2 linked regions of the Elephas maximus indicus genome follow. The protein of the gene in region 2 interacts with the protein of the main gene of each other region in a pairwise test. Links are inferred from orthologs where the notes say so. Each region holds a gene or a part of one and is shown on either strand. Other genes may lie near its edges.

Evidence for each region.
Region 1: the proteins of BCL2L13 (region 2) and TMEM86B interact in binary tests that used the Homo sapiens proteins (3 or more experiments, as listed by UniProt). The two-hybrid records come from large-scale screens. The link is inferred for Elephas maximus indicus from reciprocal best matches to the Homo sapiens genes BCL2L13 and TMEM86B.

What each region holds. Positions count from the first base shown.
Region 1 is NC_064829.1:91,778,363-91,785,727, reverse strand, and holds TMEM86B (lysoplasmalogenase), read right to left. Parts: upstream 3,403-7,365; 5' UTR 3,279-3,402; coding exon 3,228-3,278; intron 2,898-3,227; coding exon 2,651-2,897; intron 1,430-2,650; coding exon 1,047-1,429; 3' UTR 757-1,046; downstream 1-756. Other genes in the region: PPP6R1 (serine/threonine-protein phosphatase 6 regulatory subunit 1), read right to left, coding at 5,543-5,546, 5,831-5,902, 5,982-6,092, 6,629-6,710, 6,825-6,895, 6,987-7,161, 7,234-7,365. UniProt on the Homo sapiens protein: Catalyzes the hydrolysis of the vinyl ether bond of choline or ethanolamine lysoplasmalogens, forming fatty aldehyde and glycerophosphocholine or glycerophosphoethanolamine, respectively and is specific for the sn-2-deacylated (lyso) form of plasmalogen.
Region 2 is NC_064822.1:55,261,133-55,269,469, reverse strand, and holds the start of BCL2L13 (bcl-2-like protein 13), read left to right. Parts: upstream 1-5,049; 5' UTR 5,050-5,245; intron 5,246-5,252; exon of another isoform or gene 5,253-5,366; intron 5,367-8,337. UniProt on the Homo sapiens protein: May promote the activation of caspase-3 and apoptosis.

The DNA of each region.
Region 1 (7,365 bases), on a different chromosome or scaffold from region 2:
TCACGGAATACAGAAGTCTCCTCTCTGCTGTAAGAGTTCCTAAATGCACATCATGAAATGTAGAAGTCTCCTCACTGCTCTAAGAGTTCATAAGTGCACTTCACAGAATGTAGAACTCTCCTCTCCGCTTAAGAGTCCCCAAATGCACATCATGGAATGTAGAAGTCCTCTCTCTGTCATAAGAGTCCCTAAATACACCTCATGGCATGTAGAAGCCTCCTCTTTGTTATAAGAGTTCTTAAGTGCACTTCATGGAATGCCGAAGTCTCCTCTCTGCTGTAAAAGTCCTCAAACGCACATCATGGACTGTAGAAGCCGAGTGCCATGGGGCCTTGGAGTGTAGTTGTGACGCCTCATGTCTACAGATGCAGAACCTGAGGCCCAGATAGGAGAAACAGCTTGACAAGGGCAGACAGCCAAGGTAGAGCCCACAAAACCAGAGTGCTCTGTTCCTACCCCCTTGCCACCCACCCCCTCCTGGAAGGCCTCTTCATGTTTGAGTCTCCTCGCCTCCCCAACCCTCTCCTCCCCTAATGTGATATGTGACCAGTCTCCTGTGGGCATCAGCTCTTTAAATTCTCCCCTGTAAAATGGGAATCATGAACCTCCCACATCATAGGGCTGTGGGGAGAATTCTGTAACATGTTCCATAAGCCCTGGATGCTGGGCCTGGGTCACAGTCAGCACTTAATAAACACTTGGTGCCATTAATTGTGACCACATCCCTCCCAAAATAATGAGATATTGCCATTTCAATACCCACTTTACTTAGTGAAAAAATAGATTAGAGCCAGGAGAGGAGGCAGAGGGATGGAGAGGCAAGCTGTGGGTCTGGTGAGGGGTCTGGAACCTGAACATGGAACTGAAGGGAGATTTCTGGAACTCTATGGTAGAAAGGGAATTTCACAAACAGTACCCAATGTTCTGAGCCCGCTGTGCCCACAGGCAGGAGTCCAGAAGTACGCTCCATGGGACTCCTCTTGGGATAGGAGGTCCAAGAAGCCCAAGTATCCTGGCAGCAGGGGAGGGGAATGGACAGGGCAAGGTCAGTTCCTTTTGTGCCTGGGGCCACTGATGGCTGACAGAGTGATGAGAGCCTGGGCAGCGTAGTAGGTGGTCATGACCACCAAGTGGGCGCGGGGCAGGGGCTGGGCAAAGGCATCCCAGGCCAGCACAGCATCCGAGATTGTGAAGAGCAGAGCTCCCAGGCCGGCACTGCCTCCCCAGACCAGGCCACGCCACAGCACTGCAGCCAGCAGGAGGGCGTAGGCTGCCACAGGTAGGGCCTTGTCCGGGGGCAGGTGTGGCAGCAGGAGGCCGTAGTATGGAATACAGGCCAGGGCAACGGGCAGTAGGGTGGCCGGCTGCAGTGGGGAGAAGCCGAAGGTCGCGAGGTAGAGGAGGTGGGCTGTGGCAAAGGCAACCATGCCTGTAAGAGGGGTTGGGCGCCCAGTGAGGGTGGTGGTCCGTAAGTCCTCCTGATTCTCCCCACTTTTCCTCTTCCCCTGGGCCACCACCACCACACAAACCTGAAGGGAGGGCCCTGCTCCCGCCCAATCCCTGCCACTATCATCTCGTGCTGGGATTACAGTGTTGCCCAACTGCCCTTGCCTCCCAGTCAGTTTTCAACACAGCAGTCAGAAAAAACAAAATAAATAAAAACTGTTGTCATCAATTCTGACTCATGGCAACCCTATTGTGTGTCAGAGTAGAACTGCTCCACAGGGCTTCCTTGGCTGTAACCTTTACAGAAGCAGATTGTCAGAACTTTTTTCCACAGAGCTACTGGGTGAGTTTGAACCACCAACCGGTCAGTGGTACAAACCAGTTGTACCACCCAGGAACCTCCGGCAGTTGGGGATATCTTAAAATGCACACCAAATCATGCTCCCCTGCTCTAAACCCTCCACCCACCCCCATGACACCCCAAGAGAGCACCCAGTTATCTTTACTGACTGTGGCCTACAAGGTCCACACCTTCTGCCCCAGCCACCTCTTTAGACAGTCACCAGGACCGCACCTACCTCAGGGACTTTGCACGTGTTAGTCTCTCTGCCTGGAAGGCCCCACCCCCAGATACGCCTGTGGTTAGCTCCATCCGTTCCTTCAGGACTTTGCCCAGATGCTACCTTCTCATGGAAGCCATTCCCGATTACTATATTTAACACTGCATACCAACCCTGCCCCTGGTCAATCTTAATTCTCCATGCCCCTTGTTGTTGTATGAAGTTGAGTCGTTTCTGAGTCATAGTGACCCGTGTGACAGAGAACTGCCCCATAGGGTTTCCTAGGCTGTCATCTTTATGGGAACAGATCACCAGATCTTTTTCCAGTGGAGCCACTGGGTGGGTTTGAACCACTGACCTTTCAGCTAGCAGCTGAGGGCTCAAGTGTTGTGCCACCAGGGCTCCTTCCGTGGCACTTACCGCCTCCTAACATCATACTCTGGTCCCCCACACTGGGATGCCAGCTCCATGAGGGCAGGTAGTTTTGTCTGTCCTGGCAGTTGCTGCCTTTGAAACCCGCTCACCACCTGGCTAGTGGTACGTGCTCCACCAAAAAGTCTCCCCTGAGCCCCAGTGCTGCTCAACTCCTCTGTAGAGCATCTTAAATTAGGTCCCCGAGAGGTGTCATGATGCGGCCCGCTCACCGTACAGGAAGGCGTCAGGCCAGATGAGGCAGATGTCTCCCACAGCCGAGCACAGCAAGGCTCCCTGCACGAGCGCAGTGTAGCTCCTGCTGGGGGACAAGGCCCGCAGGCACACAGCCAGGCAGAGCACGGGCAGACATTTGACCAGGGCATGAAGCGGGGATGGTGGGTCCTCAGGGTTCCAGAGGAGGAAGTAGATAGTGCAGGTGAGGAAGAAGGGGCTGAGCCACCTGGCGATGTGTACGTTCTTGGGGAGAACAGGGGGAGGGCTGCTGAGCTCCAGAACCACGCTCCAGACCACCCTTGCCTCTCAGGGTCCTCAGTCCACCTAACAGCCAGGACCTACCACCCCAGCGCCCTTGGGCCCTGGATCCAGCTGGGACAGTATCCAGGTGTGGGGGCTCCCGCCCACGCCCTGCTGTCACCAGGCCTCCAGCCTGCCCAGGACTAGGACCCTGGTCCCTTAGGAGGGCAGGACACCAGCCAATTCCTTAATCAAGGGTCCCTCAGCCTCTAGCCTGGTCCTTAGGACCCCGCCCCATTGCCCCACTTCCCCCTCCCCACCAAGGGCTCTCACGTGGACTGCAAGGCCAGGCTCCCGGGGTGGCCCCCTTCCTCTGGTGTCCATGCTGGTTTCTCACACCCCCGTCACCTCTGCCTGAGCACTGGTGGCTTTGGTGGGGGGGGGGTGAAGGGGAGGGTGCATAGTTACACGTTAACCTGGACGAGCGTCCTGTGGACTCTGGGGCTGATAAGAGGGCCCAGAGAGATGCCACCCCCAGCCCTGACACAGCCCAGCCTGGCACTGGCTGATAACATGCCCAGTGGGATCCAGTAATCCCTCCCTCCCGAACCTGCAACTCCTCCCCTGCCTGGTCTCCTCCTCTCTGTCAGGGGGCCATGAGGTGGAACCCGCTACTATCTAGTTGCCAATCAATCAAAAGGGAATGGGGCAAGGTTCACAGGTCCCCCCACAGAGGCAGAGGGGGTGCAATTCATACCTCCCAGCCCACAGGCGGTCACACTGCCAGCAGGGAGGACAGTGCCTGACTTAGCAGACCCCTCTCCACTCGCTGCCCTGGGGGGTGAGTACAGACTCCCTCCAACACCATCTGCCGTCCTCAGCATCCCATCTTTCGTCCCCAAGCCCCTCTGAGCCCACGGCCCCAGACATCCCCCTACAAGTACTCAAGGCATGAAGACGGGGCACACATAGAGTGAGCTGCAGCTGTTCTCACTGGCCTCAGGGGCCTTGTCCTTGAGGCTCATGAGGACAACGCTGGTCACCAGGGCCAGTCTGCACATGGGTATGACCAACACTGAGGTTTCCACACTGACCCTGCAGCAACTTCTTTGTTTTCTAGTTTCAGGCTTTCAAAGGACACCAAGGTTGATCCCCACGTGCACACAGCTGCGCCTCAATGTGTAGCACAGGCAGTGAACAGGGCGAGCTCATGACCTCAAAGTCAGGCAGGTGGCCCCGTGTCACCGGGAGAACATGGGCTCAGAGGACAGCCACCGGCTGTTTAGTTGTGGGGCTGCGATGGACAGTCCAGGCGTCGACAAGCCCCACAATGCAGCAGGGGCTATTAGGGTCTGGAAGGAAACTGAGACCACCACCCCTGTGCTATGTAGGGCTTTATTCCTCAGTCGGTTGTCTCACTTGTGGGGGCTGTGCGTTCGTCAGCTGTATGGCCTTAAGCCTGCATCGTGTGATGGGGACATGTGGGACTGGAAGTCACCCAAGACCGGGTGCCAGGCCTCAGCTTGAACTTGAAGAGGTTGCTGGGCTCACTTCCTGCCCGGAGAAACCCCTTCCTGTTCTGGGCAGAAGTTGTCGCCCCTCCCCCAGGGGAGAACTGGGGACATGATTCCTTGGGAAAGGGAGCAGCGATCTTGCAGCCCCAGAAGAAACCACTGTGGCTATCTCATTCGGCCCCGCCCTGTGCCCCTCACTCAGCCTGCAGCACCAGCAGTTGTCAACGGTTTCCTTTATTGTATTTGCAATATGAAATAAAGCTCGCACAGACACGCACCACTCACGCAGCTCGCTTGGGGACAGGACGCTGGGACAAGGTCACTTGGCAGCTGGGGTTGGAGCCCCAGACACTTGGGATGAAGGGGGCCCCCAGCCAGACCCCTACCCGGAGCTGAAAGAGGCCAAAGGGGGAAAGAGTGGGGCATCGGCGGGGAGTCTAGGGCCCCAAGGGAATGTTACAGGGCGCCCCCATGTATGGGACCCCAGCCCTGTCCCCAGCAGAGCCCTTGGGTTTCCAGGCTGGGTGACAGTGCAGGGCTAGGGGAGGGGGCTTGGCAAAGGCACCGCCCACCCCAGCCCCCAGTTTCCCCTACCCTCCCAGCTTCCCCCCAGGAGGCCCTGAGCTGAGACCAGATGTGAGTGTGTGTGTTGGTGGTCTGCTTGAGGTGGGGAGCTACACTCTGCTTCAGACAAGTGAAAGGGACGCTGTCTGCGTGTGGTGAGGCCACACCCAACCGGCCTTGCCGGGAAGGGACAGGTAGGATGGGGTAAGGTTGTGCTTCAGAGCCAGATGTCCCCCAGGCGCCCACATGACCCAGGTGCCCTTCCTCTTCTCCACAATATATATATATAGTTTATAATATAGGTCTCTCTCTCTCCTCGTTCTCTAGTCGACTCTCTATATTTTTATTCTAGGAGGCAAAACTCCAACAATTTTCAGTGCAAATGGGGATGGGGTGGGCGGTCTCCCTCGGACACCAGCTCCTGGGAGCCCAGAGAAAGAATGTGGGTGAGGGTTGATGGGGTGGGGGCGGGGGAGTGGGGGCCCAGGACCCGGCCCTGCCCCCACCCCGGGCAGAGTCCATGGGAGTATGGGCGCTATGGCCACCGCTGCCACCGCCAGGACCAGGCTGTCACCTAGAACAGAGGGAGATACCAGGTGAGCCCTGGGACACCAGCTCACTGTCTGTCCGTGGGGTCCCAGCATAGCCAAACTCACTGGGAACCCAGGAACACCTCCCACCACCCACCTGTCCCTGTGGTCCCAGCACAGCTATACTCACTGGGAGCCTGGGAACGCCCACCCACCACCTGCCTGCCCCCATGGTCCCGGCACAGCCATACTCACTGGGAGTCTGGGAACGCCCACCGGCCAGCTACCCACCAACCCGCCCTCACGGTCCTGCCCCAGTCATACTCACTGGGAGACCGGGGCCATAGGCCCGCCTGGGGTGGAGCCACTGGGCATCTGAGGCGGCTGGAGGGGCTGGGCACTGTCAGAAAAGCGACACCAGGGGTCACCCTTATGCCCATGTGGTCCCTGCCCACCCTGCTGGCCGCACCACTGCTCACCTCTGGCTTTGAGGCAGCCCCAAGGGCGCTGGATTCTTCTCCCCCTCGGTGGTCTCGGGGGGCTGCTGGGCCCCGGTGGCTGGGACAGAGGTAGAGGGGTCTCTGGTTGCACTGAGGAAGGAGAGGGGAAGTCAGTGATGCTGAAGATCCCTCGCAGGTACCTGGCCATCCTGTGTCAGTCGGGGCGCCCATCTGGGGCATGGTCACGGGCATGGGGAGCCCTGGCACAGCATCAAACTAGCCCCTTGCCCCAGCCCACTCAGCCCTCAGCCCCTGTGGGAACCTGCATTCCAGGCCCAACGCAGGGCGATGCCCCATGGCACACCAATCCCTGTGGATGCTGACAGAGACCTCTCCCTGCTCTCCCGTCCCTTTTTTGAGGCCCCGCTCCTCCTGACTAGAGTCTCCCCTACCCTTCTGGAAGCCCCTGGCCCAATACCACCATCTGGCCACCCTGTCACTGACAGAGGTACAGCCCTATGAGGCGCAAGGAGAGGAATAGGGGTGGGGTGGAGGAACAAGCAGTCCCTGAGACACAGACAATGGGCCCGGGTGGTCTGAGCAGCTCTGGGTGGACAAGCCAGGCCCCACGTCAACCAGGGAGGACCTGGCACCACCCCCACCGCTGATGGCACCCAGCCTGTCACCTGTCTAAGGAGCTGGGGGTGCCACGCATCCCGCTGAGGGTAGCCTGGAGGTCCCCGACGCTGACCAAGGCCTGGCAGGGGGCTGCGGCAGGAGGAGAGGAAGAAGCAGTGAGGTACCTGCGAGGCGGAAGGTGCAAGGGGAAAGGCGCGGGAAAGGTGTCAGTGAGGTGGGGGATGGTGTGGGGGTGCTCCTCACCCACAGGCTCTGCAACACTGCTACCAGTGGAGGCTTCCTGAGGTGCTGAAGGGGCTGCAGGGTCCTCAGACCTGGAAGGAGCCAGGCAGTAGGAGGTGAGGCCGTGACATGGGCAGGGCACCGCACCCCACCCTCCACCCAGGCTCCTCACTGCATCCTCACCTAACCTGCAGGCCTTCGCTGGCTGGAAGGACAGCCAGGCTTGGGGCAGGTGGGCTCTGGGGACCATCACAAGGCCCCTGGGGGGCCATGGGCCTGGGCTCTTCACCCCCGGAGATGCAGGGGCCTGCGGAGGCTTCAGTAGGCACTGGGTCAAAGGTGGCCGTCCAGCCAGGGCCTGGAGGAGAAGGAAGTGTGAGCGCTGGAGAGGACTGGGGCCCGCCAGCCCCGCCCTCTTCACTCCACTCACCCTGGGGTGGTGGTGCCACAGGCTGGGGGCTGGGGCTCAGGTAGGAGGGGGCACTAGCCCCTCCCCTGACCGTGTGGCTGTCGGCATCTTCCTCGTCGTCGTCCTCCTCTTCCTCATCATCTTCCTCACTGT
Region 2 (8,337 bases):
TATCACATTTGCTTCAAGATTTTAATTTTTAAATAAAAGAAATACTTTTACAAATACAGTTAACATCCCCCTTTTGAGCCCTGCCCATCCCCCATGTTAATACTCTCTAAGACCACAGCTTCTGCAGTGTTTTGCTGATGCACTAAGGAACAGGCCAGGACCTGTCTGATAAGAACGTGGTAAACTTCACAGAGAGAATCCCTGGAGTGAAAAAGTTATAATGAGTACACGCAAAGAGTAACCAATCGGTAGTTTTCCAAATTGAATTTCCTCCTACACTGCTTTAGGTCTTGTGAAGAAACTATTAAAACAGCTTTTTAGAAATATTTAAAAAATCCTCACTCCTGGATAAGCCTATTTGCCTATGGCTTCACCAAAATCACTGGCCTAGATAACTGTTAGGTTAGTTACAAAGCGATAATTTGTGGCATTGTCTCACCTACTACCATGCTGAGGCTTCACTATGTGGTTAAATTAGAAATTGAGTCAGCAGAATAGAAGAGCTAACTCATGAATTTGTTTGCTGGGTAGGACATAAAGGGGAAGACTAGAAATTAATGTAGATAATTTCTGTCTTTGAATGTTTGAGGAATCAATTTAAAAAGGAAAAACAAATTGTAGCAGAAAGTAGCACACCTCTAACTCAGGTGCCTGCACTTTTACCCTTTTCTAACCAATTTTCCACAAAACAGTGATTTAAAACCCAGGTAGCATCCATTCACTCCCCAATATATAATCCTCTAGTAGCTTCCATTTGCTCCTGAACACCTCACAAACGTGGCCTCTATGGGTGCTGCCTGATCAGGCCCTTCAACAAGACACTTCTTTAATTTTCTGGATACAAGTTCTTTGTCAGATACATGTTTTGTGAATATTTTCTCCCAGTCTGTGGTTTGCCTTTTCATTTTCTTAATGGTATATTGTGATAAGCAGAAGCCTTTAATTTTGATGATGCTCAATTTAATAACTTTTCTTACATTGTCCATGCTTTTGGTGTCCTAAGAAATCTTGACCTACTCCAAGGTTGTGAAGATATTCCTTTGTTTTTTTCTAAAAGCTTTACAGTTTTTGCTATTACATTTAGATCTATGACCCATCTCAATTTTTTAAAATAGTGTGAGATAGAGATCGAGGTCCATTTTTTTCCATACGTTTATCTAGCTGTTCCACAGCCATTAGCTGAAAAGACTTTCCCTTCCTCATTGAATTACACTGGTGCCTTTTATCAAATACCAATTGACCATATGTGTGGGGGTCCATTTCTGGACTTGATGTTCTACTGATTTGTCTATCCTTATGCCCATATGGAGCCCTGGAGGTGCAGTGGTTAAGAGATCGGCTGCTAACCAAAAAGTTAACAGTTCGAACACACCAGCTCCTTCTTGGCAAACCCTACTTTGTCTTGTAAGTTCATTATGAGACTTGATGGAAATGGGTTTGGTATGCCAATAAACCATCTTGGATATTACAGCTTTGTATTAAATCTTATAATCAGGTAGTGAGACTTGCAATTTTTAAAAAGATCATTTTCGCTATTCTAGGTCCTTTGCATTTCTGCATTAGTGTTTAGAATCAACTTGTCAACTCCCCCCTCCCCCCACAAAAAAACTGTAGGGATTTTGTTGGGGACTGCATTGAATATGCAGATAGATCAATTTAGAAAACTGATATTTTCTCAATATTGAGTCTTCTAATTTCTGAACATGGTATAGCTCTGCATTTACTTAAAGCTTTATTTCTCTCAGCAATGTTTTAGTTTGTGTAGAGTTTTCATGTCTTTCAAAAAAGTTATAACTTTCATTTTTTGATGCTATGTAAATGGAATATCTAATTTTTTTTTTTTTTTTTTTTACTTTCCAGTTGTTGGCCGCTAGTATAGAAATCAAATTGATTTTTATATCTTGTGACCTTTCTAAATACACTTATTGGTTCCTGGTTCTAGTAGTTGTTTTTAGGTCCTATAGGATTTTCTATGTAAACAATACCTAAAGTTTGATGTTTTAAACAGAACGGACTGTAAATCCTTACTAAGATCTATTCTGTGGGCAAAAAAACTGCAAAGAAATCTTACACTTTATTCAGTTTTATTGTATTAGTAGCCATGTATTAATTTTGAAATTATTATATTGTAGGGTAAAACAAACAAGTTGACATTAATGTTATTAGGAACCAAGAGACACAAATACAGAATAAGAAAAGAAAAATCCTTCATGTTATATTTGTTATATTTAAACATATTTGTTATATTTGAATTGAAGGTATCTACTTGAATTTATGACTTAAAAAATATATATCTATTTCCTAGATCTGTCCACTGAGAGGGCCTAGAAGTAAGGACACCTGGTAGAAATAAGAATACATCCACAACTTGGTTTCTAACTCCTATTTCCCTCTAAAAGGAACCACAGGCCCTTGGAGAAATGGCTGATTCCCAGTCTGGGGCGGGGAAGGTATGAGGTGAGTCCGGACATCTTATTTTACCAGCGAGCAAGAAAGCTCTCAAAAAGACTCCTGTGTCCTTTGACATAGAAGTGTGCTTGAAAGGGCTCTCACTGGCCAAATTAGGGACAATTTGGAAGTCAAAAAGAACAATGACTGTAATGTATTTTAAACCATTTAATAAATAAAAATCCATTTGTCCATAGTGTTAAACAATAAAAACAAATGAAAATACTCGTTTCAGCATACAGTGATTATTACACTAATTCCAGACTCTAAAAATTGACAATTACAGGAAATACTCAAGTATTTACTCTGCTTCACCCCGCCCCCACCCGGCCAAAAGCATGTGGAACTCATTCCCAGTTGATTCTGTAAATAAAAAAATTTCTTATTTACAGAATGCCAGCTAATAAATGTAGAAAGATGCAATTAGAAAATCACTATTTTCAATGCTCAGTGAAAACTATTTAAGCAAGAATAATACATGAATGCTGAAAGTATTAAGTGAAAGGTTATTGGGGAACAGGATCAACTTTAGCATCAGTAATAACAGGACTCCAGGCACACTAAATGCTCCTACATAATGTAACCTGAAGTACACAGCCTCACGTATGAAGAATTTTTCTCCAGAAATGTTTAATCTGAATCTAATCAAGTCTTTACGTCTGGTCTCTCAAAAAGCCAATGTCATTTTAAAAAATTAAAAAAGGCTTAAGAAACTAATAAAAGATAACCAAATGCAATGTATAAACATTGATTAAATCCTGGCTTAAAAATAAACAAAATTATGAAGGAAATACTTGGGCAGTTGGGGATATGTAAATATGGACTAGATTATTACATAATACTAGGAAATTATGGGTAAATCTCTTAGAGGCTGACTAAGCCTTTTCTTGGCAAATCTCTTCCCTATTTCTCTGATAATGGCACCACCATTTTCTGCCAGTCAGGCTTAAAGAATCCTATGACACCCATCTCAGTCTTCTCTTCATTTCCACCACACCTCTGTCAGTACAGGTTTTCATCACTTCCTTTTTAACAGCTTTATTGAGATACCTCACATATCATACAATTCACCATTTAGTTACCCAACCATCACTACAATCAATTTTAGAACACTTTTACCACCCCTAAAAGAACCCCTGTACTCGTTAGCAGTCACTCCTTTTTAAGGATTGAATTGTTTCCCCCTGAAATGTGTCAACTTGGTTACACCATGGTTCTCAATAGTGTGTGGCAGTCCTCCATTTTTTGATTCGATGTAATCATTCTATGTGTTGTAAATTCTAACCTCTATGATGTTAATGAGGCAGGATTAGAGGCATTTATTTTTTTTTATGTTAATAAGGCAGGACAATCTACAGGACTATCTCTTTTGAGATATAATAGAGGACAGGAACCTCCTTACCACCAAACAAGAAGATGCAGAAGCTGAGTGAGTCCTCTGGACCCAGGGTCCCTGTGCTAAGAAGCTCCTAGACCAGAGAAAGATTGATGACAGAGACCTTCCCCCCAGAACCTAGACAGAGAGAGAGAGAGATAGAAAGCCTTCCCCTATAGCTGACGCCCTGAATTCGGATTTCCACCCTCCTAGAAGAATAAATTTGAGAGAATAAATTTGTTTGTTAAAGCCATTCACTTGTGGTATTTCTGTTACAGCCATACTAGATAACTAAGGCACTCCTCATCAGGTTTTTATCACTTCTGATCTGGCTTCTTACAACAGCCTAACTCCGCATCTTCAACTCTCTTTGTTCCAATTCGACTCATCTACACCACAGACGATGTGACTGCCCTAAAACATGGTTTAGCTATTATACCCTCTTCCCTAGATACCTTCAGTGACTCCCCCAAAGGACGCTTCGATTGAAGTAAACAAATACCCATTACCCAGTGAACCCCAGTGCCGTCGAGTCGATTCCGACTCATAGCGACCCTATAGGACAGAGTAGAACTGCCCCATAGTTTCCAAGGAGCGCCTGGTGGGGTTGAACTGCCGACCCTTTGATTAGTAGCCACACAATGTATTCAGGCACTGTGCTAGGTGCTAGGAACAAATGGCTCCAAGGCAGCCTTGACTTCTCTATTCTCCTACACTCTATTAAAAATGGATTAGTACTGAAGGCTTCTGTTATCGCCATAGCGTCTCCGCTCAGGAAGTTGCCTCTGCCTAGAAGGTTCCCTCTATCCTACCCCCTCATCATGCCCTCGGAAATCTTCCCCAACGTTCAAGGTCTATCTTCCCTAAGGAGTGGGTCCAAATCCCGCAGCACTTGAGAAGCTCTTAACACTTATCTAATTGGCTCGCTTGCACATACTCGAAGCTCAACACACATCTGCAGAACTGAACATATCCTTTGGACGCAGCGAAGCTCCACTGCGCGCCATCTCCAGCCTCTCTCCCAACATCGCGATTGGCTCTCCAACGTTTTCCCCTCTCTCTCTCCTAGCCCTCTATGACCGGAAATGACTTGAGGCGAGGGCGCCTCCGAAATCCCATGGATCATAGATTTGAGCGACTCCCGGGAAGAGCGAGCTAGAAAGGGTCTGCTCTTCCGGGTCAGGTCTGCGCGAAGAAACTCCAGATCTCAGTTGTCCCAGCTTCCGTTTGGGAGAACAGAACCGCCCCCTTCCCGCGCTCCTCGGCGTCCCGGGCCCGCCCTGACGCTGGCGGTGACGGATGGCGGCGGCGGTAGATTAGGGCCGTGGGTCAAAGCAGGCACAGCCGCTGGGGGACCCTGTCGGAAGCAACTGCCGCTGTCGCCGCCACTTTCATCTCTTCTGGGGCAGGGGCCAGGGCCAGGTGAGGGGAGTGGGGTTCTGGGCACGCAGAGCTGGGCTAGGAGGCGGTTTCACCTCCGTAGGACGGTGTCCAGAGACTGTGCCGACCCCACCGGCTCCCCAGTGGTCCCAGCGAAGCGTGAGTGAGTAAAAGAGTGTGTGTGTGTGCCGACGCCCCTTCGCCTGAGAGCTCGCGAAGCCACGGGGTCCGTTTCATTATAACCGGACTTATCCAGCGTGGTCTCGCCGTGAAAGCGTGTTGAGCAGAGCGTCTCCCTGAGTGGGCTGCCTGAGGCGCAGGAACTTGGCCCATTCTCCGCACCGCTGTTATTCTCCACGGCTGTCTTCACGTGGAAAACCGGTTCCATTTTTAGGACCAGACTGGGGAAAGTGGACTTCTCTTGGTCTCAAAAAAGGTTTTTATGCGACTCACTTGGAATGATTATAGATCCGCTCTGTCAGTCGCTCATTGTCACAGATAGTTAGAAATCTTGGACTTCTTATTCTAAATTCACTGTTGTTCTGACGCCCATTATTTTTTTCATAAAAACCTGCATTCTTACCCTCAGAGGCAATACCGTTCACACTGAGTCCTTCTTTGCTCGCAACATTCCAAGGAGAGGATAAGGAGATCCCAAGTTTCTTTCCTTCATAACCGAACATGAGGGAGAATTTGGAATTTTTGAGTTGAAGCTGATTTCTTTGACTTAGCGTAATGTTTTTGAAAATCGGACGGATCTGACTAGTTGTTCACATGCTCTTGACTGGTATTAGCTCTGTTTAGCTCTTAACCGCTCCCTGCACAAGTTGTTTATCCGTAATCACTATTTCTGTCTCTACGTAGAAGTTTTGAACTGAGCTGACAGTTTGTCCCCTCCCTCTTTTTTTGGCTTTATGGTTTAAAGCAAAACAAACAAAAAGCCTTTTTTACGAAATTGTCTGTAGAATTTTTCCCCGGAGGCTTGGTATAAACCAGAATGTTGACCTCTGCCCTGACTTGTTGTGTGACCTTGGATGAGATGCCACACCCTTCTGATGCCTTTTTTTAAAAAAAACCCAGAAAATTAAGTATTGTGTGAACTGCTTAGACTTCACGTACACAGTTGGACATTTGTACCTGCACATTTGATCCTGCAGACTGAAAATACTTAAGCCATTATGAAGTACTCTTCATTTGATAATAGGCAGTTAAGCGTTTTGTAAATCCTCTTTAATCTGAATGGCCCGGTACCATTCTAAATTTTTTTTTTAAATGACTTATTTTCTTATGGAGGAATGTGACATAGAAGTTGAATTCAACTTAAGATGGGTCGTTTTGAGTCGGAATCAACTTGACCGCAACAGGTTTTTTTTGTTTAAGGTTGAATCCAGCCAGCTTTGTAAAGAAAAGTGTGCTTAGTAGCTCATCAGTTAATAAATCAGATAATATATTTATTCAGTAATAATCATTGTTTTAAAAATATTTTTCTTAAATATTTTAGACAATTTTTAAATAATCACTTAGTACCCACCCTGCTGCTTATTGCTTTTTCATACATGATTTTGATCCATATCTTAATCCAAATAAACGGTCATCAAGAGTTCTTGCTTAATGTATATTACAGAGTTGAAGGGGAGCCATTTCCAGAGTAGCTGATTTTTTTTAACAGCTTCATTGAGACATAATGAGTATTCCATACAATCTACGAATTGTACAATTCAGTGATTTTTTACTACATTCACAGAGTTGTACAAGCATTTTCATTACTCCAAAAAGAAACACCATAGCCATTGGTAGTCGTTCCCCATGCCTGGCCCTCACCCATTCCCTCCCCATCCCAGGCAACCACTAATCTATTTTTTGTCTGTGTATAGACTTGCCTGTTCTGGAAATTTCACATAAATGGAATACACAACATTTGGTCTTTTGTAGGTGATTTCTTTGACTTAGCATAGTATTTTCAGGATTCATCCATTTTGTAGCATGTATCGTGATTTCTTTCCATTTTATGGCCAAATAATATTCCGTTGTATGAATATACTACATTTTATTCATTAGTCGGTTTAGGTTAGTTGTACTTTTTGGCTCTTATGAATAATGAATATGTAATGCTGTTACGAACATTTGTGTATAAATTCTTGTGTTTCGTTTTCTCTTGGGTATATACCTGGAAGTGAAAGAGTAATCAAATTTTATGTCTATTTTGGATTTGTGTCTTTAACGACTGTTATGTTTATGTAGAATTCTGTGTCCTCAAGCTATATACATATAAATGGGAAGCTTAATTAACCTGTTGTGGGAGTCAGATTTTTTGTGTGTGTTTGTGGGAAGACTTGAGAATGAGGCCTTCCTCTCTACATATAACCACCAACTGCCGTGGATTAGATTCCGAATATATGTAGCAACTCTACGTATATTACCTAGAAATGCCAACTGCTGAGTGAAAATATTTTGGGGACAGCTCTTAACACGAGATTGAACTAGAGTGTTTCCATTAGGCATGTATGTTCAATTGGAAGAAGAGAGCCTACATAACAACTTACTGTCTGCTGAGTTTTAAAAAAATGACACCTTGCTTGTCTTGCGTTTTGCAGGTGGGTGGGATGAATTTGCAGCTTCACAATCTTTATTAAAAAACCCAGTGCCATCGAGTTGGCTCTGACTCATAGCGACCCTATAGGACAGAGTAGAACTGCCCCATAGAGTTTCCAAGGAGCGCCTGGTGGAGTCGAACTGCTGACTCTTTGGTTGGCAGCCGTAGCGCTTAACCATACGCCACCAGGGTTTCCGCAATCTTTTTTAGGATTATTCTGCTTCTTCTGAAGAAAGTCTTAGGATTCTATGTTGTTGTTCTGTGCCTTCAAGTCGACAGGACTGTATAAAAAAAAAAAATAAGTAAAACATGGCTTAGAAAATGCAGTTATTGGATTTCATGTTAATTTGCAGAATTAAAAAAAAAAACAAAAAACTTACCTGCTCAAACTATCAGCCTTGAGTCTAGAGATCTGGTAGTCAAGAAGTGTTAATGTTTAAAATTCCAGAGTCTTAATTTAGGACTGAGTTATCTGTGGATTTTTAGGTTTTTATTTTTCTCTCCATAAGCTGGAATTGGAAACCCTGGTGGCATAGCAGTT